Linked DNA regions of Cricetulus griseus. The protein of the gene in region 7 interacts with the protein of the main gene of each other region in a biochemical or structural test. Links are inferred from orthologs where the notes say so. Each region holds a gene or a part of one and is shown on either strand. Other genes may lie near its edges. The genes, in order: Tex33, Scel, Bag5, Nek1, Ckap2, Bag1 and Lrrk1.

What was found.
Region 1: the proteins of Lrrk1 (region 7) and Tex33 form a complex in vitro, tested with the Homo sapiens proteins (2 studies listed by BioGRID and IntAct, with this or other methods). The link is inferred for Cricetulus griseus from reciprocal best matches to the Homo sapiens genes LRRK1 and CIMIP4.
Region 2: the proteins of Lrrk1 (region 7) and Scel form a complex in vitro, tested with the Homo sapiens proteins (2 studies listed by BioGRID and IntAct, with this or other methods). The link is inferred for Cricetulus griseus from reciprocal best matches to the Homo sapiens genes LRRK1 and SCEL.
Region 3: the proteins of Lrrk1 (region 7) and Bag5 form a complex in vitro, tested with the Homo sapiens proteins (2 studies listed by BioGRID and IntAct, with this or other methods). The link is inferred for Cricetulus griseus from reciprocal best matches to the Homo sapiens genes LRRK1 and BAG5.
Region 4: the proteins of Lrrk1 (region 7) and Nek1 form a complex in vitro, tested with the Homo sapiens proteins (2 studies listed by BioGRID and IntAct, with this or other methods). The link is inferred for Cricetulus griseus from reciprocal best matches to the Homo sapiens genes LRRK1 and NEK1.
Region 5: the proteins of Lrrk1 (region 7) and Ckap2 form a complex in vitro, tested with the Homo sapiens proteins (2 studies listed by BioGRID and IntAct, with this or other methods). The link is inferred for Cricetulus griseus from reciprocal best matches to the Homo sapiens genes LRRK1 and CKAP2.
Region 6: the proteins of Lrrk1 (region 7) and Bag1 form a complex in vitro, tested with the Homo sapiens proteins (2 studies listed by BioGRID and IntAct, with this or other methods). The link is inferred for Cricetulus griseus from reciprocal best matches to the Homo sapiens genes LRRK1 and BAG1.

Annotation. Positions count from the first base shown.
Region 1 is NC_048595.1:375,484,200-375,488,204, reverse strand, and holds the start of Tex33 (testis-expressed protein 33), read left to right. Parts: upstream 1-1,205; 5' UTR 1,206-1,447; coding exon 1,448-1,774; intron 1,775-3,512; coding exon 3,513-3,657; intron 3,658-4,005.
Region 2 is NW_023276807.1:255,218,610-255,222,109, reverse strand, and holds part of Scel (sciellin), read right to left. Parts: intron 2,903-3,500; coding exon 2,810-2,902; intron 1,859-2,809; coding exon 1,787-1,858; intron 1-1,786. UniProt on the Homo sapiens protein: May function in the assembly or regulation of proteins in the cornified envelope. The LIM domain may be involved in homotypic or heterotypic associations and may function to localize sciellin to the cornified envelope.
Region 3 is NC_048598.1:182,322,638-182,326,837, forward strand, and holds the start of Bag5 (BAG family molecular chaperone regulator 5), read left to right. Parts: upstream 1-1,400; 5' UTR 1,401-1,573; coding exon 1,574-1,587; intron 1,588-2,780; coding exon 2,781-4,149; 3' UTR 4,150-4,200. Other genes in the region: cytochrome c oxidase assembly factor 8, read right to left, coding at 780-908. UniProt on the Homo sapiens protein: Co-chaperone for HSP/HSP70 proteins. It functions as a nucleotide-exchange factor promoting the release of ADP from HSP70, thereby activating HSP70-mediated protein refolding.
Region 4 is NW_023276806.1:238,837,695-238,841,194, reverse strand, and holds part of Nek1 (serine/threonine-protein kinase Nek1), read right to left. Parts: coding exon 3,425-3,500; intron 2,407-3,424; coding exon 2,168-2,406; intron 1-2,167. UniProt on the Homo sapiens protein: Phosphorylates serines and threonines, but also appears to possess tyrosine kinase activity. Involved in DNA damage checkpoint control and for proper DNA damage repair.
Region 5 is NW_023276807.1:61,473,269-61,477,291, reverse strand, and holds the start of Ckap2 (cytoskeleton-associated protein 2), read right to left. Parts: upstream 2,801-4,023; 5' UTR 2,762-2,800; coding exon 2,653-2,761; intron 1-2,652. UniProt on the Homo sapiens protein: Possesses microtubule stabilizing properties. Involved in regulating aneuploidy, cell cycling, and cell death in a p53/TP53-dependent manner.
Region 6 is NC_048595.1:101,674,477-101,677,697, reverse strand, and holds the end of Bag1 (BAG family molecular chaperone regulator 1), read right to left. Parts: intron 2,929-3,221; coding exon 2,821-2,928; intron 1,303-2,820; coding exon 1,240-1,302; intron 761-1,239; coding exon 671-760; 3' UTR 501-670; downstream 1-500. UniProt on the Homo sapiens protein: Co-chaperone for HSP70 and HSC70 chaperone proteins. Acts as a nucleotide-exchange factor (NEF) promoting the release of ADP from the HSP70 and HSC70 proteins thereby triggering client/substrate protein release.
Region 7 is NC_048596.1:131,008,393-131,011,892, forward strand, and holds part of Lrrk1 (leucine-rich repeat serine/threonine-protein kinase 1), read left to right. Parts: intron 1-2,180; coding exon 2,181-3,022; intron 3,023-3,500.

The DNA.
Region 1 (4,005 bases), on a different chromosome or scaffold from region 7:
ACAGTGGGTCTAACTGGAAGATATACCTCCGTATCACTAAGAGAAAACACTCCTGGTTAGCCCTACACAGGGCCATCAAATGTTACACAGCCTGCAGTCAGAATGAGAGGAGATGGGTGTCTTGGCTGGGATGAGGCCAAGGTCTCGTGGGTCTGATGTTACAGCCAGCTACTTGTCTTCTCCTTTACTAAAGGACTCAAATGTTCTGGGTACCTTGGGGTACTGTGGAAGGTCTGAGACTGGCCCCCTACAGGGACTTCACCTGTGAGACCCTCTCCCCTTATCTAGGAGGAGAAAGGGGGCATCGTGGAACTCACAGTGAGATAGAAAGGAAAATCTCGGAGCTGTGAGGATGTGGACAGTGGACAGTGTCAGGTGTTGAGCAGAGAACTGACCCAACAGCCTGGGGCCGGTGGCGGAGAGGTGTGTGTGTGTGTGTGTGTGTGTGTGTGTGTGTGTGTGTGTGTGTACTTAAAGGTTGAAGGAAGGATCTGATTTGACTTTCAAAAAAGGGGGGTGATGGGTGGTAGAAAGATGACTCAGCAGTTAAGAGCTGCTCATCCAGAAGATCCAAGTTTGATTTCCAGCATTCATATGGCGGCTCACAATTGTCTGTGACTCCAGTACCTGGGAATCCAAAAGCAGTCTCTTCTGGCCTCTGTGGTCACTGTATGCATGTGATGTTTTACACATATGTACATGTAGACAGAACACCCACGTGCATAAAAATAAAGATTAAAAATATTTAAAAGGGACGGCCTCAATAGGTAGTGGAGCAGCCTGGGGGAGGCAGAGAGATGGGATGTTTCAGGGTGTGCAGGAAAGGAGTCAGCAGTCCCTTGTTGGAGCCAGGAATGATAGGAGGGTAGTCTACAGGATGAGGTTAGCAGTCCTGCTGGCAGCAGGAGTTTTGGAGTGATACAAGTGGGAATGAGAGAGGGAGCTGTTAGTGGCCCTGAGATCATGGGAGGTGGCCGGGATGGAAGGGAGAAGAGGTGGGGGACGGGGAACAAAGAGCAAGGCTCATACCCCATTTCTAGCACTTTGCAGACCTGAAATTTGGCCAAGCCAAGAGTCATCTCTGCCACCCCGATGCCTATTGGATTCATACAGTGTTTTGTTAGAATTCAAAGCAAGAAAGGGCCTTATGGAGACAACCCTGTCCTGTGTAGGTCTGCTCACTGACTTCCCTCTGTCTCCCTCATCTCTCTTTTCTCACCTTGCCTTGGGATCCTGCGATTTCTCTACTCTTGTCTCTACCCTTGTCTGTCTCTGGCTTTCTGGTTTTTGTCACTTTCTCTCCCACTGGCCCCTCTGTCACCTTTCCCACTTTTGCTTCTCACACTGGTCTGGTGGCTTCCTGTCTCTGTGCTGCCCTCTTCCTCCCTGCTCAGGTACAACCACTTTGACAAGGACCCAACCCAACAACAAGGAGGGCCAGCAGGACATGGACTCCTGGAGAGCTTCCCGTAGCAACTTGGACAGCTCCAAATCCAGTCACCATTCAGGGCTCTCTCAGAGTCCTCAATGCAGCCCCCTGGGCCAGAGCCACTTGGAGATGCCACCTCCGCCACCGACTCCTGCCAGCAGGACTTCTCTGGGCACGGGCTCACACTCTGAGGACCTGAAGAAGGGGTCATCTAGATCCAGCTTGAGAGAAGCCAGGGAGACCCCAGAGCACACAGTGTCTCTGAACCAGGACAGTGTTATTCCTGATAACATCCGCCACAAGTTTGGGAGCAAGGTGGTGGACCATCTGATCTCCGAGGAACAGGTGACAAAGCAGAGATGTGGGAGACTGAGTGGAAGAGGGTTGTCTTGGAGACTTAATGAGGGTACAAAACCCATTCCTGGAAACCATACCTATACTGTCAGAAAGTGACGGTTACTAAGACGTGCTATGCATGAGGCACTGTGTGCTGTCTCAAGCCTTTGTGCGAGACCACTATGAGGAAAGAGGTATTACCTCCATTTCACATGAATGAAGTCCAGGGCAAGAGGGGCTAAGCAGGTTAACCACATCTACCTAGCCATGTGGAATGAGGATCTAAAGTGGGTTCTAGAGCCCTGGCTGATACTGACTGCAGTTATAAGTCTGTTTGCATTAGTCATTTCAACCTGAACACAACTCCTAAAGGATCATTTTCTGGGTATCAGAGACATGGTTTGGGATGTGGCTCTATTTCAGCAGTGGCTTTTTTCCCCAAAGGCCAGGTAACTCTCTTTAAATTGCTTTCTGTTTCTGGCCTTCAGTCTCTAAATCTGCAAAATGAAACACCCAAACCATTCAGGCTGATAAATCCATGGCATATATACCATAAGTCTAGCCTTATTCATGGCAGACATGACAAATCAATCCTGGCAGTCTTTCCTACCTGCTGTATTCTTCTAGACAGCCATTACTTATCAATTGGAAATCGAGACTAGAATCACCCGCCATTTTTAGTCAAAGGATAAACTCTCATATTCTGAGACATATTTTAAGGCTGCAATTTCAACCCTTGTAGTGACTGCAATGTGTGGTCAGTAGAGCAGAGGTTATGGTTTCCTTTTAGACAGGATAACTAGGACCAGGACAGGTGTTGTGTGTGATCTGCTCAGAGCCACAAGGCCAGTAGATCCATGCAATAAAAAACTTGAGTGTCAGGGCCCTCCCAGGCTCACCTTCATTTGTCATTTCAAGGTAAACAACCCCACCCATCAGACACACTCATGGGGGTGGGTCACAGTCTTAAATGTCCTCCCTGCTTTGAACGACTTGTTCCTTTGGAGATGGGTGTGGTCACTCATGCAGCTCTTGGCCTTGGGAAGATACCGTTGGCCTCTGCAGCACAGTTTCTGGGGTACAGGTCCCTGGTGCCACTGAAGGAGCAAGTGTCTGAGCTGAAAGCTACTTGCAGGCTCTCAGGTTTGCTTTCCAGAGAAACTGAGGCCCAGAGAGGTCCCAAGGCCTGCCAAATTCAGCAGTTGCTCTATGTCAGAACTGGTGCTCATAGTCAGGTTTCCTGACTCATAGGCCCAGACTTGTCCCTTTGGGCCTCAGTTTCCTTCTTGATATGAGGAAGAAGTTGGTCTCGGTGTAAACTAAGTTAGGCTTGTGGGATGCCTTGGTAGTAAGCAGCAAGTTACTCTGGGGTTCCCCAGCTGTGTTAACTGAGGGGAGCCTGGCCTGTCAAAGTCCTGTTTCCTCATTTCTAAAATGATGGGAACAGGATCACCCTGTGAAGACCGTCTTCAGAGCTCAATGTGTGTAGAATCATTGCTCTGATACTGTATACAGTAAGAGCTCAATGTGTGTAGAATCATTTTGCCATGATGGTGTACACAGGAAGAGCTCAATGTGTGTAGAATCATTGCCATCACTTAAGATTTGGCTCTCTGGGAGGAGGAAATGAATGGGGATATGCAGAGCTTGCCCTGGGGGATTCAGCCTACAGTGGGGAAAGCCGGGTAGTGGCAGCATACATAATATCTTCCCATCACTTGTCTCTTGTTCTTGCCTCCTCCATCAGGCTCGAAAGGCCATTGGTGAAATCTTTGAGGGCCAGAAGAGATCAAGCTCATGGCCAAGCAGGACCCAGAGCCCTGCACAAATCTCCTCCATCTTCGCAGACTACTATGACCTGGGCTACCACATGCGGTCCAACTTGTTTCAAGGTCAGGTTAAAAGACAAGGGTGGGGCTGTGAGCATGCGTGGTCCAGAGAACATTGGGCACAGAAGGCCTTTGGGGTGTCCATCCTACCTGGACCTTAAGGTTCAAATGCATAGCCCCACAGACACTTTACAAACACCCAAGGCATCCTTCATGCTGGCATGTCCTATGGGAATGCCAGGACCATCTATCTAATCCCTGGAAGGTGTGTCTTCACTGAGCAGGTGGTACAGCCCACTTGGTAGTGAAGCCCCCACACTGGACACCTCTGGTTCCCTAACTTACCCCTGATCTGACACCTTTGCTGACAGTGATAATATCAGCTTTCTTGGGTTCAAAGGTCAGCGTGGC
Region 2 (3,500 bases), on a different chromosome or scaffold from region 7:
TTAAGTAATTTAAGTAAGTAAAATAGTTTAATGTAAATTAAAATACCAACACACACACAACACAACACACACACACACACACACACACACACACACACACACACGTGCACCTTTGCCAAGGCTATTGGGTTTGTAAATGACAAACAATAACTCAATCCTGAACCTAACTCTAGAGACTTCACAATACACTGTGCATCCTTCAGTGTACACTTTAAGAAAGCTGGAGATATTTGAGGGACATCACTGTCGCCTTAGGGTAAGAAACAAACAGTAGCAAATATATCCTTTTAGAATATTCTAACCTACATATTATTGGTCTGACATGATACAATATTATCTTTTATAGCTACAGTTTTCAAATCTGCATTTGCGTCAAAAGCACATTGAATTTGTTAAAACACAGATGGCCAGGACCCCAATGGCAGAGTTTATGATTCTTCAGGTCTGGGATGGGACCAAGTAATTTCCACTTGTAACAAGTCTGAAGCGATACTGTTGAATCCAGCACAGAAATCACACTTGAGAATTGCTGTCTGTACACATACACACAGATATTCCAATGCCATACACACAGATATTCCGATACCATGTGCACAGCAGTTTACATAGGCAAACCATAGCCAATGGGGCTAAATAATTCAAATGTGGTTTAGTTTCTGTACTTGTATAAATCAAGTTGATATTTTAATGAATTATTCAATAAGTTAAAAAAATCTGGAAAGTAGTATTTAGTAGACCAAGCCTAATTCTAGAGGTTTACTGTTTTGTAAAAATTGATACCACAGTTGTTGGACTTTGTTTCAATGAGACATTTCTTTAGAAATCAAAATGTGTTGATATGCTATCTCATAGGGTTACCAATGTATGAAAACAGAGTGTCATGTAAGCATAGAATCAATGCCTATTCTTTTATCCTACTTGCCAATATTTTGTGTCTTGTCATTATATCATCCCCATGCTATTTATATATGTGCCTATTTCTTTCAGATTCAGTAACTACTTATTATTTTTCTCTCAAATGTTTTGTCTTTTAGTTTAATTAAATGTTAGCAAGAATTACTGTCATGGGGCCACAACGGAGCAAAAATTGAATTAAGAAAAAATTACTTTGGAAGCTATATGTGTAAATTACACACAGGTTTGACCCAAAGAGGTCTTGAGTTGTCCTTGGGAGTTCCCATGCACACAGAAGATTCCCTGAACTATTTGTTGTCTTGGGCTTCATTGAAATAAATTCACACATGTCACATGTGTCTGCATTTATGGACTTTCCATTATATTAACCTATAATTAGGCCAGTTCTCATTTTTTATACTCCTTGAATCCATGTCCTCTGTTATACTTTTGTTGACATCCTTCATTCCAAGCAGACAGTTTCATAGGACATCAATAGTCTGCAATTTAGGTCATGATATGTTGACCTAAAGATATGTCTTCTGTGTTAAATTGGGAGTAAGTAGTAGAGCCTTTGCATTAAGGTGATTGAGATGAAAAAGTTTGTTATAACCAAATAGTTATGCACATTTATGTAATAACATCTGATTGTGAATCTTATTACTTACTCATTAGTTATTTGCAATTCTTTTGAGTATATTTAGTGACTATAAGTCATTTATCAACTACTTATGTTGCGCACAACATAAACATTGTCTGCATAGAACTTACAATATATTAAACTGTCCTCTCTATGAAGGAGGCACACCCTGAAATGGTAGCACCTCCTAAGCAGCATGGATCATTCACAGCTGTAAAAAGAAATGAAATATCTGAAGCACTTTTCCATTACCTACTCTCCACATATGTCCTTGTATAGACAACTGTGTCCTTAGGCCCAGCATTCCTGGTTCCAGTATCGGAACTACAATAAAACCATTGAGTTTCATGTTAAAATGTCACTTGTGAGGATGATAAAAGCAAAAACATTTTCCAATAAAATGCAAAATGTAATATATATATTTATACATATGTATATATGTGTGTATGTATGTACCTTATAAGGATATATATATCTTCTAAACCAACTGTTCAAATGAAAATGTTCAAGTGTTATTAATCAACCTCTGAAAAAATTTTCCACCTCTCCCATTTAACTCTTAACATCCCTGTCTTGTTCTGCTTTAGTATTATTAATGTGAAAACTAATGATTTAATAAAATTGTCTTAGAGCATGCCGATGATTTTAACTGTCTATGTACTGTTTTTTAGTATCTGTTTCCCTGATGCCTAGTTCATTTCTAAACCATAGATTTCCCCAATAAACCTTAAGTTAAAAGTGAACTTTAATTGACTATTCAAACCTCAGGTTCAATGATATAGTCAGGAAGATCTCATTCAAGAATGTGAATGCCTGGGTTAGAGAGATGGCTCAGTAGGTAAGAGCACTTGTTGTTGCAGGGAACCCAGGTTTAGTTCCCAGCACCCACATTGGGTGGCTCCCAGTCACCTACATTTCCTGTTCCAGAGATCTGATACATTCTGGACTCTGTGGGTATCAGTAGATGTGTGGTGCACATACATAGACTTGGGTATACATACATACACATAAAATGAAATCAATAAATCTTTAAAAGAAGAATATCAACATCAATGTCATAATCTTGTTTTATGTGATTTTAGACATTAAAGCAACAATCACATTTTATATTATTCTATGTGCATCCCAGCAATAATTGAGTTGTTGACTCAACAATTTCATGTAAGAGTATTTACATATCAAAAGTTCCATGCTTTAAAACAAATGGCTAGCTTGCATGTAAATAAGTAGACACAGGAATAGTCCTGTCATTGGTTTTATAACTGTCTTTAGTACCTGAGGCTATTTCTGACATCATAAGAATAGACAGAGGTTCTCGTGGACTCCTTGAGTTGAGTGTTGGTGAATCCATTGACTTGACCATCTAGCCTGCAAGAAGAAACATATATATTTGGCCTTCAAAATCAAGGTCATATACAATCATTTTGCTTTGTTAAAGTTGTGCTATATAGATGGTATTTCTTTGTATCTACCAGGTTTCTGCACAGGAATATACATTAAAGTATAGACTGCTTTATTGGTTCAACTGGTTCCACAGAAATTACTGTCTTACCTTCAAGAATAATTCACAAACATGGGCCATGTCATCTAATGCTGTGATTGAATGTATTTTCATCAAGACTAAAATCAACTGAAAATTAGTTCCTCAATCATTTTCATAACAGCAGCGCCCTTTAGAAAGCCTCATTTGTACTACATATCTAAGAATTCATCAGTTTAATGAACGACGCAGGGGCTGCTTTGACACTCTCCAGTTCCCATTTGGTCTTAATGAAAGGTAATGCTTTGAAGACTACAGAAGTCTGACCTAGATTTCTGCTGATCTAAAAATGTCATCATGTTTAACAGAGCATAAAGACATTCAATCTCTCCCATGCAACAGAGGAAATTCTCAATGAAAAAAAAATAGTGGAAATTGTAGCAATTTTTCCTCTTCCGTGTTAGTAAGTTTTGAGAGTAAAGACAT
Region 3 (4,200 bases), on a different chromosome or scaffold from region 7:
TCTCTCACACACACACACACACACACACACACACACACACACACACACACACCCCAAAGTAAATGCTTGGCTGAGTTACATTTCCCCTCCCCAAACATGTTCAGACACCTGTTTCGTTTTTCCTTCTGCCCAAGGACTAAAATTCTATTTTTCTAGAGACAGAAGTGAAGGCTTGTCTGTTTCTCGTGCCAGGGAACCGAGCCAGAGGCCAGGAGCCCGGGCAACAAACCTTAACTGGAGACTAGACAGACTTCAAAAGCTGTAGTTCTAATAAAAGTGTTTCCGAGACGCAGCATAACAGAAATGGAAATTCACACAGCAGGCACATTTTGCAATTCTTAATTATCTCCCCCACACACCTTTTTTTTCCCCGCTGCGGCCCTTTAATTATTGCTTAAGCAAACCTCGCCAGCCTGTGTCGCCGGCCTGCTGGCAAATGCAGTGCGGGCAGCCATGGGCGCTGTCTAGTGCTCTCCACCTGAAGCCTCAGCCATCACTCTCACTGGCCCGGGCCTCCCTTAAACGAAGCACCGGCTCGGGAAGAAGGGCGGCGGGTTAAACAAAAGCCGAGCGCCCGGCCGCTTTCCCGGCTCGCTGCGGACGCGCCCTGCGGCCTCTGACGCTGCGCGACTGTTTACAAACAACGCGCGGCCCGAGCCGCCGCCGCCTCCAGACCGAGCCCGGGCGCCTTCGCGCAGCGGAAGTGAGGGCGCAGCGCGCCGACAGCGCTTCACGCCGGCTCCGGGGACGCCCCGCTCCCTCCCCGGGCGTCCGCTCACCGGGCTGGACGCCGCATCCCTGCGCTCCGTGCCGCGTTCCCGGGCCAGCCGGCCGCCGCCGCCGCCGCTGGACGAGGAGCGGACGAGCGGCCGGACGAGCGCTCCGCTTCCGGGCCGCAGAGCCGCCATGGCCGGCGCGCGGCGCGATCGCGACAGCGCCGCGGTCCGCTTTACGGCAGCGTCGCGCGGGCGGCGGCGGGCGGCGCGGGCGAGGCCGACCGTGCGCTTTCCCGGAGAGCGGCGGCGGGCGCGCCCGGGGCGGGGCCCGGCCGCGTTTTTCCCCGGGCTCGGAGCTGGGCGGCCGGCCCCGCGGCGGGCGCCGCCTCGGCAACGCTGCGGAAGTGCAGGCGGAGGAGCGCGCGCGATGGCGCGAGCGGCCCAGGTGAGCGCAGCGCAGCGCGGGGGGGGCGCGGGCCTCGTTCTCCCCGCCGCCGCCGCTCCCGCGCGCCCATTGTGAGGTCAGGCGGCGGCGCGTCGGGCCCGGCCGAGACGCCCCGGAGCGGCCGCCGCGGCCAGTAGCTGCCGCCGCCTCCGCCGGCCCCTTCACCGGCCGCCCGGGTCAGACCTAGCCGGGAAGGGCGAGGGGGATGCCGCTGGGGGCCCCGCTCCGGCGCCGCTCCCCGTGACGGGCCGGTCTCCCGCCTCGCCGCCCTCCGCGGCCGCCAAGACCGCCGCCGCCCGCACCTCTCCGGGCTTGGACTGAGTTCTGTGGCCGGCCCGCCGGAAGTGAGCGGTTTGACAGAAACCTGAGAGACGGAACGAGCGAGCGAGCGAGCGTGGGAAAAGCTCTAAGCATGCTTACGGGGAGGCGAGTGACCCAGCTAATAACCGCACTTGTCACGCTTTCTGGCGGGGGCCCGGGTCGGGGCAGCAATGGGAGTCGAGGGGGGCGAGGACTTCGTGGAAAGGACAAGTCCGGTTGGGCCTGGGGCAGAACGGTGGCCCGGTGAGGAGCCCCGGAGAGCGCCCGATGACTTCCACAGGGGAGCCTCCCGCCCCGCCTGCCGCTCCCAGTCGTCCTCTAGGGCGGTGGGAGCAGAGGAAACGGGGTTGACGCGGATGGTTTGGCCTCCGTGAAAGTGTGTGCGTGTGTGTGCGTGTGTGCGTGTGTGCGTGTGTGTGTGCGCGCGGCTCACTTTGATTCCCAGGCCCAGACATCCACCCCAGACTGGACAGACTTCTCCCTGTTTTCGTTTTGCTTTTGAGTCAGGATCTCACTGAGTGGCCCGGGCGGGTCTTGAACTCCTAATTCTCTTCCCTCTGCCTCCCTGGCGCCGGGCGTGTTGGCACATTGTTTTGTGAAGTGCTTTCCCGAGAGGGAGTTAACATGTCACATCTCCTCTTTCCTCGAGTATGTCTTCCAAATCTATAAATAACGACAAAACCTTCCGTCTGTGTGTTTTGGTGCTTGCCCGGGTGCCAGAGTTCAACCCTGCCCCCCTCCCCCCAGACACACCATTTCTGTGGTGTCCTTCTACTTTGTTTTTTTTGAGGCGGGGCTTCTCATGGCCCGAAGCTCCCCAATCGGAGTAGGCTAGCTGGCCAGTGAACCACAGAGTCCACGCGTCTCTGACTCCTGGCACCGGTGGTGTAAGTGAGCACCATCTTGCCTGGCTTTTACGTTTTATGTGCACCGGTGTTTTGCCTGCATGTATGTGTGTGCATCACATGTGTGCCTGGCGCCTGTAGAGGCCAAAAGAGGGGATCAGATCACCTGGAACTGGAGTTACAGGTGACCAGGAGAGGCCATGTGGGTGCTGGGAATTGAACCCAGGTCCTCTGGAGAGCATCCAGTGCTCTTAACCACTGAGCCCTCTCTAGGGCCCTTGCCCTGGCTGTCTTTGCATGTGTTCTGGAGCTCCAACTGGAGCACTTGACTGACAGCTGTCTCCATAGCCCCAATTAATCCTTTAAAAAGTATGCCTTTTAAAAGTGAGTTTAAAGTGGGTTGATCTAACTGTCCTGCAGAGACTGTAATAAGTTACTCTTGCCGTCTTTCAGTGCTTGTGAAACTGAACACAGAAGTATGGATATGGGAAACCAACACCCTTCTATTAGTAGGCTTCAGGAGATCCAAAGAGAAGTCAAGAGTATAGAGCCTCAAGTGGTTGGCTTCAGCGGCCTGGCGGATGACAAGAATTACAAGAGACTGGAGAGGATTCTGACGAAACAACTTTTTGAAATAGACTCTGTAGACACAGAAGGAAAAGGAGACATTCAGCAAGCTAGGAAGAGGGCAGCGCAGGAGACAGAAGGCCTTCTCAAAGAGTTGGAGCAGAATGCAAACCACCCACACCGGATTGAAATCCAGAACATCTTTAAGGAGGCACAGGCCCTTGTGAAAGAAAAGATCGTGCCCTTTTACAGTGGAGGCAACTGTGTGACTGACGAATTTGAGGAAGGCATCCAGGACATCATTCTGAGGCTGACGCATGTTAAAACAGGAGGGAAGATCTCTTTGCGGAAAGCAAGGTACCACACCCTAACCAAGATCTGTGCCGTGCAAGAGATCATTGAAGACTGCATGAAGAAGCAGCCTTCCCTGCCGCTCTCTGAGGATGTGCACCCTTCAGTTGCCAAGATCAATTTGGTGATGTGTGAGGTGAACAAGGCCAGGGGCACTTTGATCGCACTTCTGATGGGCGTGGACAGTACTGAGACTTGCAGGCACCTATCGTGCGTGCTGTCAGGGTTGATGGCTGATCTAGATGCTTTAGACGTGTGTGGGCGTACGGAGATCAGAAATTACCGGAGGGAGGTGGTGGAGGACATCAACAAACTACTGAAATACCTAGATTTAGAAGAGGAAGCTGACAGTACACATGCATTTGACCTGGGGCAGAACCATTCCATTCTGAAAATAGAAAAGGTGCTCAAGAGGATGCGAGAGATAAAAAATGAACTTCTCCAGGCTCAGAGCCCTCCCGAACTGTACCTGAGCTCCAAGACAGAACTTCAGGGCTTGATCGGACAGCTAGATGAAGTCAGTGTTGAGAAGAACCCCTGCATCCGGGAAGCCAGGAGAAGAGCCGTGATTGAAGTGCAGACCCTGATCACGTACCTGGACCTCAAGGAGGCCCTGGAGAAGAGGAAGCTCTTCCCTAGTGAGGAGAACCCCCCACACAAGGCTGTGTGGGATGTCCTTGGAAACCTGTCAGAGATTCAGGGTGAAGTCCTCTCGTTTGGTGGAAACCGAACTGATAAGAACTATATCCGTCTGGAGGAGCTGCTGACCAAACAGTTGCTGACCCTGGACGCTGTTGACCCCCAGGGAGAAGAGAAGTGTAAGTCTGCTAGGAAGCAGGCTGTGAAGCTGGCCCAGAACATCCTCAGCTACCTTGATCTGAAGTCCGACGAGTGGGAGTACTGATGGACCAGGAGCTGCTCCTGCTGGTTCACACTTTATCTGCTTTTAGAGAGC
Region 4 (3,500 bases), on a different chromosome or scaffold from region 7:
GTGAGATCTGCACGATGGCTAAAATCTTCCAGAGTCAGTACTTCAATAGGAGTCTTCAAGCTCAACTAAGGTTTTAAGAGGAAACCAATATTCAAAAGCACCATTCATTGTGATACCAGTAAGTTCAAAAGCTCAGGCTAATGACAGCTATATAGAAAGCACATAGGGAGCTGGGGAAATGGTTTAGCTGGTAAAGTGCTTGCCATGCAAACATGAGGACATGAGTTTGATTCCAGCACCCATGTAATAAGCTTGGCATGGTGATATGTGCTTGTAATCCCAGTGCTAGGTGGCAGAGACAGGAGGATGAATTGGTCAGCTCCAGACCAATGAGGGATGCTGTCACAAAAATCAAAGCCTGAAGAACAACACCTGAGTCTGACTACTGGCTTCTATATGCACACGTGCACAAATATAAAAAGAAAGTACCTACATAATATGATAGTGATGTCTGTCCAATAATGCTCTGTATTCAACACTTAAGACTGTAAATCTGTTTTGGTAGTTTATATCTTCTAATGTCTGCTAATTAGAGTAAGCAATGGAAGCGGGAGGGAGCTAGGAGAATGAGAAGGGGAGAAGTGGAGGGGTGCGGAGGATATGAGTGAGCAGAATGGTTGAGTTAAGGGAAGAATAGAAGTTAACATGAATGGAGATACCATAATAGAGGGAGACATTTTAGGTTTACAGAGAAATCAGGCACTAGGGAAAGGTCTGGAGAGCTACAAAGAAGACACAAACTAACAATCTAAGTAACAGAGGAGAGGCTACCTTAAATGCCCTCCCCTGATAATGTGATTGATGACTAACTTATATGCCATCCTATAGCCTTCATCCAGCAGCTGGTGAAAGTAGAAGCAGACACCCACAACTAATCACTGAACTGAAGTGGAATCCAGTCATAGAGAAGGACGAGTGAAAAGCAAAGGGGTCCAGACCAGGCTGGTGAAACCCACAGAAACAGCTGATCTGAACATCGGGGAACTGTTGCTCCCCAGACTGATAGCTGGAATACCAGCATGGGACTGATCCAGACCCCAGGAACACAGGTTTCTGTGAGGAAGCCTTGGACATCTACGGGACCTCCTGTAGTAGTTCAGTACTTTATCCCTAGCATAGGTGTGGACTTTGGGAGCCCATTCCATATAGAGAAATATTCCTTGAGCCAAGACACACGGGGGTGGGCCTAGGCCCTATCCCAGAGGATACAATAGACTCTGATCACACCCTATGGAAGGCCACACCATTCAGGGGGAGCACAAAGGATGTGTGATAGGTAGGGTTTTAGTTGTGTTGGGGGGAGTAGGGGAGGACGGAGGGAGAAGGGAACTGGGATTATCATGTAAAACAATCCTGTTTCTAATTCAAATTTTAAAAAGTTGAAAAAAAAAGCTATAGTAAAAATGATATGGCAACTTAATGTAGTATTTGGTCATTCAAGATACTGAGGGAAATACAATGACTTACTTTTTACTAATATCAAAACAGTAATACTTCAATGTATACAATAAAAATAGCTACACAAACAATATACAAGACATTTTGGTATGTATACATACACAAAAATTACATAAAATTACATATAAGAAGTTAAATGAATTTGCTAAGCCAGGGGACAGCGTGGCAGGGAAGCAGACAGAGGAGCTAAGAGAATCCAGAAGGAAGCTGTCTCCATTCTGCACCACAGTCCTACTTGTAGAATAAAGCTACCCATAAAGGAGTGAAAACCACAGGGCCACAGTGGTATGTAGGAGTCCAAGGAACTATTAGGAAAGGACTTACCTGCCCTGCCCCCCTCAACAGAATTAAGGGGCACTGAGGTTGCAGAAACCAGCCACATCCTTTCACTTGAGGTATTTGCATGTTGATGTGGGGCCTGGATGTGGTTACATTGAATGGGTAGCTGGGAAAACAATTCCTCAGACCAACACTCTGAATGACTGCTACAAACTAAACTGTCTTATTCCCCAAGTAGAATTTTTATTGGAGAGCAACTATTGCTCACTTTTTAGTACCACTAAAAAGAACCTTAGCCAATAAAATAGGGGCTTTTGTTTGTGTGTGTTTACACTTGTTTGGGTTCTGAATCAATTAAAACCAAACACTGGCAATCAAGCAATGTTATCAGTGGAGAGACAGCACTATCCATATCTGAGACCACATTTACCTTTGGGTTGTTGGCATCAAATAGACCAGTTGAAAGCCCAATCAGTAAGGAATTCTTGGTTTTAGTTTTTGGTGGTGAATCAGAGCGGGTTCGGAGTAAAACTGATTCTTCTGGTGGACAGTGAGTTGACTGAACTAAGTTCAAGTGCTCAGAATGAAGCACTTTCTGGAAGAATGGTTCTGGTTGTACTGATTTCCCCACATCAAATCCAGACTGCTGAGAATCACCCACTGCAGATTCTGTGGGGCAAAAGGAGGTTCTACCATCAGTCTACACAGTAGCACTTAAAGATCGACAAATATCATACAATAGTTAATACAAATCCTATCCAAGGGGCTGTAGATGCTGCTTAGCCTTAAAAGCACTTGCTGTACTTGCAGGGGACCTGGGTTTAGCTCCCAGGGCACACACAGCAGTTCATAACCATCTGTAACTACAGTTCCAGGGAATCTGCCATGCTCTTCTGGTTTCTGGGTGCCAAGACTACACATGGAACAAATATTACTTCTATTCAGGCAAAACACTCAGACATATACAATATTTTTAATTAAAAAATGATTCCATCAAAAAAAACTCACACCAGGAAAATAAAATCAAAGTATACCTATAAGTATACTGTATACTACCTTATAAATAACCTTAAAACAGATATACTGTTTGATTTTAATGATTTAATTTAATATATATTTTCATTATATTGGAAGTTTAAAATAGAAAATCAATTTTTTAGTTTGTTTCTATAGAGTAGAAAAAATGTTTATATTATCTTATATTTCAACCAATGGTATTTTAGAAAGAAACTAGTTTATTTGGTGCCTTTAGTATACTGGTTTTGTTTTAACAGAACTTTTTTTTCATTTTTAAGAATATAATTTACCAAAAGGTTAACTGCTTATGTTACCACAACACCGGGCTGGCTAGTACAGGTTCCTGTTCTCTAGGCCTATTTTTAAAATAGAATTATGATGACCATAAGAAATGCTCTTGCCAGGTGGTAGTGGCGCACACCTTTAATCACAGCACTTGGGAGGCAGAGGCAGGTGGATCTCTGTGAGTTCGAAGCTAGCCTAGTCTACAGAGTGAGTTCCAGGACAGCAGAGCTGTTACACAGAGAAACACGGTCTCGAAACAAACAAACAAACAAACAAACAAACAAACAAAACAAACAAGCAAAAGTGCTCTTAAATATGGTGCCCAAATTAGACAGGTTGGTGTTAAGTGTTTCAGAAAGAATTAGACTAATATAGTAGAGCTTACCTATATAATCCTCATAAGATTGGTTCACATTCTCTGGAATTCTAGCCTCATAAACTTCACTCTGCTGCATGGCAAC
Region 5 (4,023 bases), on a different chromosome or scaffold from region 7:
CCCCCCCAACCCCCCAGGAGAGTTTTAGAAAATCTAAGACAGAGCCTCTGTCATAGGGCCAGTCAGCATAGCAGGATCAACTGTGGGTACACCTTTAAACCCTGAGTTGCAGGTGACCCATCCTACCCGAGGGACTGGTCTGTGACAGTCCACCCAGACAAGCCTCTCATAGAAAACAGCTCTTCAGCCCTGTTCCCACTGCAAATCTAAAAGCCACAGTACACGATAGAAACTTGAGGAATGCAGCAGGAGACATTTGGAGATGGGGATCACAATACCTCTGCCTCCCTTAGGACTCATGGTACTATTGGCCATAATTCTTCCTCCAGGGTAGCTACCATGGTTCCCACAGACTGGACTTTGACACAAAGAATTTTACTAGCTGTTGTATCTGGTAGTAACAGGTTTGTAAAAAAAAAAAAAATCATCTGATTTAATGAGTTATGCCTAGCTGTGCATCCAAATAATAGTTGGTCCTTGTAGATGATATATTTTTCTGAAAATGAATAGAGCCTCACAACTCTGTAAAAGGCATACATCTAATAACTGCTGAGAAAAGGTTATATGACTATTTGAATAAAGAGTGCTATTACTATGGTAACTATTTAGGGCTAGTTAGAAATTGGGTGAAACAGAGAGAGGAAAGTATGACCAACAGAGGGGAAACGCTACAGAGCCCCTGGTATTCTTGGAATGGTTACTGGAATTAAAAAGCTTAATGTCTCTAACAGAGCCCTTCTTAATGCTGCAACCCCTTAATATAGTTTTACTCATGTTGTGGTAACCCCCAACCATAAAAAATTATTTCATTGCTACTTCATAACTGTAATTTTGCTACTGTTATGAATTGTAAATACCTGATATGCAGGATAGCTGAAGGGGTGTGGACCCACTGGTTGAGAACCACTGTATTAGGCCTTTGTACCTCCAACTCTGAACTGCTGGAGCCACTTTAATATCACTCTTGTAGGGGCTGAGGTAGAACTACATCAGATACAGATGGTTCCAACCTCGAAGCCACTTTCTTAGGTGATGAAAACAACAGGGCCCTGCTGACATAGAATTTTAAACTGGAGCTTTTTAAAAGATTTTTAATAGCTCCACAACGGGGAATGAGGACTCTGGCTAACAATTTATTCAGAAAAGAATAACACTAATATACTTAAACAATCTGGCAATTATCTTTGCTGTGTCAATCTCCCATCTGCCCAAGTATTCTCCTGTCTGTTTAAACTGTTCCAAGAGTAACTGGTGGGACCCAAAAGAGATTTAAGGATGACAGCATAAGTAAAATGCACAAGCCTAAACTGAACATCAAGTATTGAAATCTTCTATTCAAGGCTGGCTCTTCCTTGGGCATTAGCAGGACAAATGCACCTTATCTAATCACTAAGTGTGTGAAGTGACTCCTCCCTGGGAAAATATTTCTATATCAGTGAAATTGGAAATTTCCCAACTTGGAGAAATGATCCCATTAATAGGAAGGTGCTGTCTTGGAGTTAGTAGTGCTGTGATGAAACAACCTGACCAACAGCAACTTGGGGAAGAAAGGGTTTGGTTTATTCACATGTCTTTATCAAAGACATTTAGGGTAGGAATCTGGAGGCCATGAAGGAATGTTGCTTACTGGCTTGCTCTGCCTGCTTTTTTAAGCACCCAAGACTAACAGCCCAGAGGTGGCACCGCCCACAATGGGCAGGGTTCTCTTCCATCAATCATTTAAGAGTCAATTAAGAAGATGCCCTGAGGCAAGGCTCACGACTTTAATCCCAGGACTCAGGATGCAGAAGCAAGTGGATTTCAGTGAGTTCGAGGTCAACCTGGTCTACAAAGCTACACCGAGAAACTCTGTCGGGGGAGGGAGATGTCCTGGGAAGGTAGTGGCCCATCTTTGGGGCTGGAGAAATGGCCCAGCGTTTAAAGAGCACTGGCTGCTCTTTCAGAGGGCCTGGGTTCAATTCAATTCCCAGCACCCAAGTGGCAGCCCACACTGTCTATAACTCCTGTCCTCACACAGACATACATGCAGGAAAAACACCAAAAATTTAATTAAAAAAAAAAAGATGCCCTACAGACTTGCCTACAGCCTGATCTTACGGAAACATTTCTCAATTTAGATTTTCTCCTCCCAGAGGACTCTGTCTTGTGTCTAGCTGGCATAAACCTAGGCGGAATGATGCTGACAACTGCTCTGAATAAGAACACATTCTCTGAGTCGAGTTTAGACTGAGGCTGTAGCTCTACGATAGAACAACGGGGGTCTATCCTCAGCAGTACCAGAAAAGACAGACTGACGGACGGGCATCGCCGACAGACGGGCAGACAGAAAGATAATCACGTTCCCTAGGGAACACCATTTCGACTTTCGGTTCCAGAAAGCGTCTATAAGATACAATGGTAGAGACGAGCTACTACTAGTCTCCAAATTTTGACGTAAGTCCCCCAGCCTCACCTCCAGAGCTTAGAGCTGGGCGAGCCAGCGCGCAGGCGCAGTCGGGGGTCCTTGCGGCCCCGCCCCCCTCAGCCCTCAAACCCGGACCCCCGAGCTAAACCGCTGCCCGCGCCGGCTTCTACCGAGGCGCGGGGCAGAGGCCTAGGCTCTCAGAAGGGCGTGAGGAGGGTTTGCGGCCCAGGCCCCGCGCCGCTGCTTACCTCTGAAGGCCGGCTGGTCTCTCTTGGTCGGGGGCAGCTGCAGGTCCCGTGGCACCCGCAAAGTGTTCCTCCCAGCCCGGCCTGCAGAGCGTTTCCTGGACTCTGCCATCTCGTAATGTGCGCGTCTAGGCGCCGGCGTGAATTGAATGGACCAATGAGCGCGGGGGGGCGGAGCCTGGACGAGGGGCGGGGCCGTCCGGGAGTCTGCAGAGTTGGCAGTTGGCGGCGTGAGTTTTTCGAAAATTAAACAACGCTCTTCAGCTGAATGGACTGGGGCGGAGCGGGCTTGTTGAATCCTCAGGCTGTAGCAGGACTAGGGTTGACAAGTCGGGACAAATCTTCAGACACAGCCCGAGTAAGGCAAAGGACAGCAGATGGCTGCTGGCGAGCTCACCGAGGCTACAGCTCAGAAGGTCCCTGAGGAGTACATATTCACCACTGCCCTTTGGAGCTGCATTACTGAAGTGGGTTGTGATCACATCTCACAAACGAGATGAGCTCAGATGTTAGATGTCCATGTTTGCACAGCTCGCAAACAAAATCTTAAGGTCTACCTTTGTGCTGTTATTTTATTGAAAGTCTCTCAGTGTACCAAACTCAACTCTATCCCAGGAACTCGAATCTCACATTGCCTGGTTTTTCTATGTTTGTATATTTAGGTTTGCTACTATAATCGTTCACTCCCATCATTTAAACGTGTCACCTATATAAAACCCAGACAGACGGGCAATGGTGGTACACCATTGTAACCCCAGTCTTCAAGGAGATGACATGTATAAAATATATTCCCAGAAAGAGGCTGCATCTTCAAAGTGAAACTTTTTGCAAGGCTGATTAATTGATTAAAACCTCAATGATTGTGGAGAAGTTGGAATGTTGCAGGTCCAGGGCCCAGCTGCAATTTATCTTGGGCTATCTTATTTAGCTTACTAAATAGCCATCTCTTGCTGTCGTAGTCGTCATCGTCGTTGTCAACCCCCCACTCCCACCCCCAGATGCTTTGCCAGTACATTTTTTTTTAAGGGTTGGAGTGGAACTCAGTGACTTGTTCAAGTGCGCTGCCACTGAGCTAAATCCCTGGTCCTTCTGTAGTTTTTTTTTTTTTCCTTTTAAAATATCCTATTTTATTGTAGCCTTACCAACAGCTCTTATTTTTAAAGACACCACTGCTATTTTACACATTCACTACAATATGACTTATTGCTAAGGTTCTAGTGGTGTGCTTGGTTGTCAACTTGACTGTATCTGGAATTAACAAAAACCTAAGCATTTGGGCATGCCTGTGAGGGATTTTCTTCATTGGGTTATCTGAGGTGAGAAGACCCATCCTAAATCTGGGCACATCTGGTGATGAAAGACCCGCTCGAAATG
Region 6 (3,221 bases), on a different chromosome or scaffold from region 7:
AGAAAATGGGAGGTAGAGGCAGGCAGATCTCAGGTCTACATAGTGAATTTCAGGACAGCCAGGGCTACACAGTGAGGTCCTGTCTCAAAAAAAAAAAATAAAAAGAAAAGAAGAATGTCACCTTGAAACCAAGGCCTGTGGCTGGGGAGGAGCAGTGGGGGATGAGGACAGGCCTTTAAACCAACAATCCAGTCAGATGTTCTGAAATTAAGCTAAAGCAAGGCACTCTGTGGATGGTCCATGTGCCAAACTTCTACCCAACATTCCTACAAAGATGATTCTGGTTTTACATCTACAAACTGAGATCACAAGGTCATGAATCTGAAAACTAGGGTACCCTACAAACTGGGAAATAGCGCAGATGAAGGCGCTCTTCCCAGCCCAGAAAGTACCTGAATGTCAAGAGCTGGTAACCACTGGGCAGGAAGGCCTCTCTCCTAAAAAGGCAGCTGCTGCACACCACAACCATAAAGAGCCAAATGAGAAAGCAGGAACTCTACTTCAGGTTGCAAAGACAGTACTTTTTCATTCAGAACCGATGGAGAAGTAGGGAAAGTGACATTTGGCCAGTTGCCTCTGGCAGCCCGGAAGAAACAAGCAGCTTCTGTTCAAGACAGGGCAGAGCTGTGAAGCTGCACTTCAGGTCAGCATAGCCACTCTCTACCGCACTTCATTCATCAAGGGCAAAGTCTGAAGAGTGCAGTCGCTGTGTCTCTTGGCAGATGTATTGCTCCACCATGTCACACTCAGCTAGGAACACCTACAAGACAGACACAGGCAGTGAAATTCGAGGCCCTCCTAGGACAAGCCAACCACTGCCCATTCAAGGTTCTTTATTCAGCCATTCTGGGGAACCTGCAGATTAGACTCTAAACAGGTTGTGCAGGGATGGACATGGACTCCCAAGTTGAGGGGGGCAGGGATAGTGAAATATTGGGCCAAGTTCTGACTATGCCCTAAGCCAACGACCTCCAAAAGGGGGCACTAGACACACCATTGGCCCTTACTGGAACTTTGCTAGCCCTATCTCCTCTCCAGTGAACTTGTCCAAACTGATTATATCGCATACACAGGGGCAAGAATCCCTTTCTTGGGTCCATGCTAATAAATAAACAATAACAATAGACCATGCCTCTTAGCACAGTTCTACACTACCCTGTTTTGAGCAGATATACACACACACACCAAACACACTAAATATATTACAGCCTGTCATGTATTACCATATAACTCACTCACCTGAACCTTTTTTACCAAATTCTTCCTTTTTAGCCTGCTGTCTTTAAAATCTTCTGGTAGTACCTATGGGAGAAACAGTTCACACCAAACAATTGACATCCGTAATGACAATGACAAAAGACATTGGAAATCCACACAATACATTCACAGGTCACCAGTATAAGTAAGATGTGCACTTTCAGGCATCATTTCTCCCGGTGTGCATCCTATGTGGCTCCCTTCATGGCTCTCATTCCTATGAATGCTCCCTCCCTTTGTTGCAATGTCTGGAGTGTAACCTGATCTGAAACACAGATTTTGTTTTTTCACTGTGCCAAACATATGGATACTAATAAGCCAGGAAAAGTACCTTCCATTGTTTGTTTGTGTGTGTGTGTGTGGAAGGGGGTTGTTTGTTTGTTTAGTTGGTTTTGAGACAGGATTTCTCTGCATATTCCTGACTGTCCTGGCACTCATGATGAAGACCAGGATGGCCTTGAACTCACAGAGATGCACCTGCCTCTGCCTCCTGAGTGCTGAGATTAAAGGCCTGTGCCACCACCACCTGGCTGGTTTGTTCTTTTCTAACCCCTCAGTCACAACAGAATTAAACCCAGAGAAATTCACTCTCAAGAATGAAGCATGAAGCTAGAGATACCCTTACAGTCATCTGTTAAAGAAAACTTGGGTCAGCAATTCGACAGTCTCCCAAGATCTGGCTGTGGTTAAAGAAGAAATGTGGTGGTATAGAAGAAATAAACTTCCTTAACCACAAGATCATAAACTTGTTGGGTTCCAGGTCCATGACCACACACACACACACACACACACACACACACACCATACATATTACAGAAGCCTCTGTGTTGTTGGGCTGTGAATGCCTACAGGTCAGAAACTCCACACACTCACCCAATAACCTAGCATGCTAACCTAGTTTCCTCCCTATTGCTGTGAGAAAATGCCCTGATCAATTGGGGAAGAAACCTGAAGCAAAAAACATGGATGAATGCTGCTTGCTGGCTCACACTTGGCTTTCTTTTTAAGGTTTATTTATTTTAATTTTATGGGTGGTTTACCTACAGGTATATCTATACCATATGCATGCCTGACACCTGAAGAGGCCAGAAGAGGACACTGGATCCCCTGGAACTAGAGTTAAAAATAGTTGTGAGCCACTGTGTAGGTGCTGGGAATCAAACCTAGGTTGTCTGGAAGAGCAACCAGTACTCTTAACCAATGAACCATCTCTCCAGCTCAAAGCTAGCTAGCTTTCTTACACAGCCCTGGACCATCTGTCTAGGGATGATGCAACACATAATGGGCTATATCAATTACCAAAACAACCTCACCCCCCACAGTGCCCATAGACCACCCTAATCTTGGTAATCCCTCAACAGAGAGGCACTTCACAGGTAATCTCCAGACTGTGTTGACCATTAAAGCTAACTAGAACACACAGCACCTGGCACACAATAGTAAATGCTTAACATTCCCAAGTAACAGATTTTCACAGGCAACAGACGTGTAATACTGATAGACAGAAATGAACTGAAATGCCGTCATTAAAAACTAGTATCTCTGAGCGGAATATTTACTTACCATTGTGTCAATCTCCTCCAAGATCTTCATGAACTGCTCAATTGTGGCCTTTACTTTCCTATCAAGTTTGTAAAGAACCTCTGCTTCAACTTCCTTAGCCAGAAAACCCTGTGAAGGAGTAAGATACTATTGCAAGTGTTTCTTTTCTTTATCTTTTTTTTCTTTTTTCTTTTTTTTTTTTCTTTTTGGTTTTTCAAGACAGGGTTTCTCTGTGTAGCTTTAGAGCCTATCCTGGCACTCGCTCTGGAGATCAGGCTGGCCTTGAACTCACAGAGATCTACCTGCCTCTGCCTCCTGAGTGCTGGGATTAAAGGCGTGAACCACCAACACCCCGGCTTTTTTTTTTCTTTTTAAAGATTTATTTATTATGAATACAGTTTCTGCCTGAATGCAGGCCAGAA
Region 7 (3,500 bases):
GGAGACACACCTTCCTGGGCCACCTTGCTGCCCAGGTCTCAGTCAACTTTACAGGTGACCATCATTGCCCAGCACTGCCCAACACTGCCCAGAATTGCCCAGTGCTGCCCAGCATTGCCCAACACTTCCCAACGCTGGCCAGCATTGCCCAGAAGACCTACTTCCTCACCCTCCTAACCCATACACTCACTGTATTCCCCACCCCTAAGCTAAGCCATCTCCACCACGTGCTGGCATTGAATCCAGCCTCACCAGGGCTGGCCAGCCCATCACTGCACTGGTCCTGGGCCTTCTCCTTCAAACAGCAGATACAGGAGCTTCACCTTCCCAGCCTTGTCCAGGAGCGTCCCTCCTGATGAACTGCCGGGATCCAGAGCCATGACCTCTCCTCTGAGAAGTTGTGTGGCATTGCCTACTCTCCCATTCTCTGCTGCCCTCCCTGGATCCAGAAAGGCTATGAGGGGCCTGAGGATGCAACACATGCTCTCCCCCAGTGCATAAAGAGAACTTCCTTGCACCACTTTTTAAAATGTGCTGGCCATCCTTATGTGATCTCCATCTGTCTATATGCAATGGGGGCGATAGTAGGAATGAATTAGTTTCTGATCTTATGGAGCCCAGAGTTCCAGGCTGTGCACTTGGTAACTAAGTATTACTGTGACTTCCTGATAGTTCCCAAATCTGTGGGCTCTTCTCTCTGTGCTGTTCTAGCTTCATTTCTTTAGAAAAGGAAAAAGAAGACTTGCAAAATAGGTATGAAATGACCCTTAGAGTCATTTATGGCCATTGCCCCAGAGGCAGGCCTGGGCAGCTGGGAACTCCCTGCACCAGAGCCAGGGGGAACTGGACACAAAGCATTATTGAAGGACCCCGATGGCCAGAGCCCTAGCCAGTGTGCACGTCCTGCCCTAGCAGAGAGAATAAAGCGGGCTCTGTGTGAGCCTCCTGTGCAGGGTGCCTGCCCCTGTGGAGGTCGTCCTGCAGAGGCCACACAGAGCAGACCCATGCGTTCTTGCACAAGCTCGCTCACATCCTGCCAGACGGACGTGGTGTTCCCCACGCTGGCCAACACAGCCAGGATCCAGAAAGACTTATGGCCTGTTTGCTCTGGCTGCTTTATTGACCTAAATCCTCAAGGTGGAGTTTGAGAAACTTTCTTAGGGCTCTCTACTGTGGATGTTGAGTGAGAGGCCACTCACTCCACTACCCTGACCAGACAGCCCACACTGCTATACACACACACACACACACACACACACACACACACTCCCAACAAAGTGGCTTTCTGCCATTCCCCCTGGTTGGAACAAGGCTGGACCCTGTTCTGTCCTGAACTCTAACTTGGTTCTGAGGCACTTTACATGCCCCACTGCACTCTGTGTCTGCTCAGGGAGATAACCTGGGAAGCCTGCATTTGGCTTTCTGCCTGCAACTTTGACCTCTGTCTAGTGACCTCTGGTGGGTAGCTACAGAGGAAGCCATGCTAGTGTCAGCATAGGCTTTTCAGAGTGTGTGTGAGCTCATGGGGCCAAGACACTCTCTCTGTGTGTGGAGAGTTAAGTTAGAAGCTGTTTCTTCTGGAAACATACGATGTCTACTTGATGGGAACAGTGGAGTCGAGGGTTGCAGAGATGAATGAGACTTAATCCTTCCTAGGCCAGTACAGTGCCAAGGTGGCAGTGGTGGGCACAGAGATCTGGGCTCTGCTTTGCTGGAGCACTCTACCTAGTGTGGGCAGAGTTCCTCATGCCTATCACAGCTGTCATGTTAATAAGATGTTTACAATAGGGAAAACATTCTGCCCTGCCTTCCAGTGAGGCCTTCATGGCATTCAGGAAAAGCAGCTCCCTGCTGCTCATGCAGCAAGGGATCAATCCCAGGTAGTGGCACCCTTGCCGGATGCCCTCAGCACTGTGGACACAGTTCCTCCCTGGCACACCCCTTGCCTTGCAACACCAAGGATGTATGGTGGCTCTGGTGGGGCCAAGCTACATCTTTTCTGGACCTAGGCCTGAGACTCCCGAACAGATCAGGATTTCAAAGCCCTTACTTCTCTGAGGCATTAAGAGAGATCATGTGCCCACTTGAGGCACACATGAAGATGGGTCTAGTGCCTGTGGTTTTTCTCCCAGAATGTGTGACCTGAAGGAGCTTCATGTGTCCCTGTCCCCTCCCCACAGAACTCCTTTCTGGTGCTGGCTGGCCTGGCTGATGGACTTGTGGCTGTGTTTCCGGTGGTACGGGGCACCCCAAAAGAAAGCTGTTCCTACTTGTGCTCGCACACAGCCAACAGGTCCAAGTTCTGTATCCCAGATGAAGATGCACGGCAGAACCCCTACCCAGTGAAGGCGATGGAAGTGGTCAACAGTGGGTCTGAGGTCTGGTACAGCAATGGCCCTGGCCTCCTCATCATCGACTGCACAGTCCTGGATATCAGCAGGCGACTGGAGCCCTTTGCAGCCCCTTCCACGGTCACATCAATTGTGTGCAGCTCAGACTGCAGAGGGGAGGAGGTGGTCTGGTGCCTAGATGACAAGGCCAATTCCTTAGTCATGTACCACTCAGCCACCTACCAGCTGTGTGCCCGGTACTTCTGTGGGGACCCCAGTCCTCTCAGGGACACGTTTCCTGTGCAGCCCTCAGTCCCAGAAGCCCCAGGCAGTCACATAGTCACCTCAAAGGAGCCAGAGGAAGAGTGCATTGCAGACGTGAGCATCATGTACAGTGAGGAGCTGGGCATGCAGATCCTGACCCACCAGGACTCACTCACTGACTACTGCTCCATGTCCTCCTACTCCTCGTCCCCACCCCACCGAGATCCCAGGTCCCCGTCCAGTCTGCCCAGCTCCCTGACCAGCTATTCCAGTGTGCCTTTCTCCACTGATTATGAAGATCCAGACAGGCCCAGCGTCACTTCTGACAGATCTGAGCCTGACCTGACCCCCATGGATGGGGAGACGTTCAACCAACACCTGCAGGCTGTGAAGGTTCTTGCTGTCAAAGACCTCATTTGGGTCCCCAGGTAAGTGTTTTTGAGTGGGGGTGCCATTTCTGAGCTGTCCAGTGCTCTTGTTTTGGGGCCGAAGTGAGTGGAACCCATGGCTTCTTGAAAGATTTGCAAATCCATCTGGGCAGTTCTCCCAAGAAGTCTTTGCCATTTGCTTTTAGAATTAGGAGTGATAGCTGGGCAGTGGTGGTGTACGCCTTTAATCCCAGCACTCCTCTGGAGGCAGAGACAGGAGAATCTGTGTGAGTTCAAGGCCAGCCTGGTCTACAGGGCCAGTGCCAGGACAGGCTCCAAAGCTACACAGAGAAACCCTGTCTCAAAAGAAAAAAAAAAAAAAGAATTGGGAGTGATCTCCAAGCAAATATAAGAAGCTCACCTGTCCATCAGAAAATTCAAGGTGCCCCCAAAACAAGAACCATGCTCAGGTTTCCTATAGAAGGTCTTTCCCTGTGTCACACCGCCTCCACTCACTCTCTTCACAAAAACTTCAGGC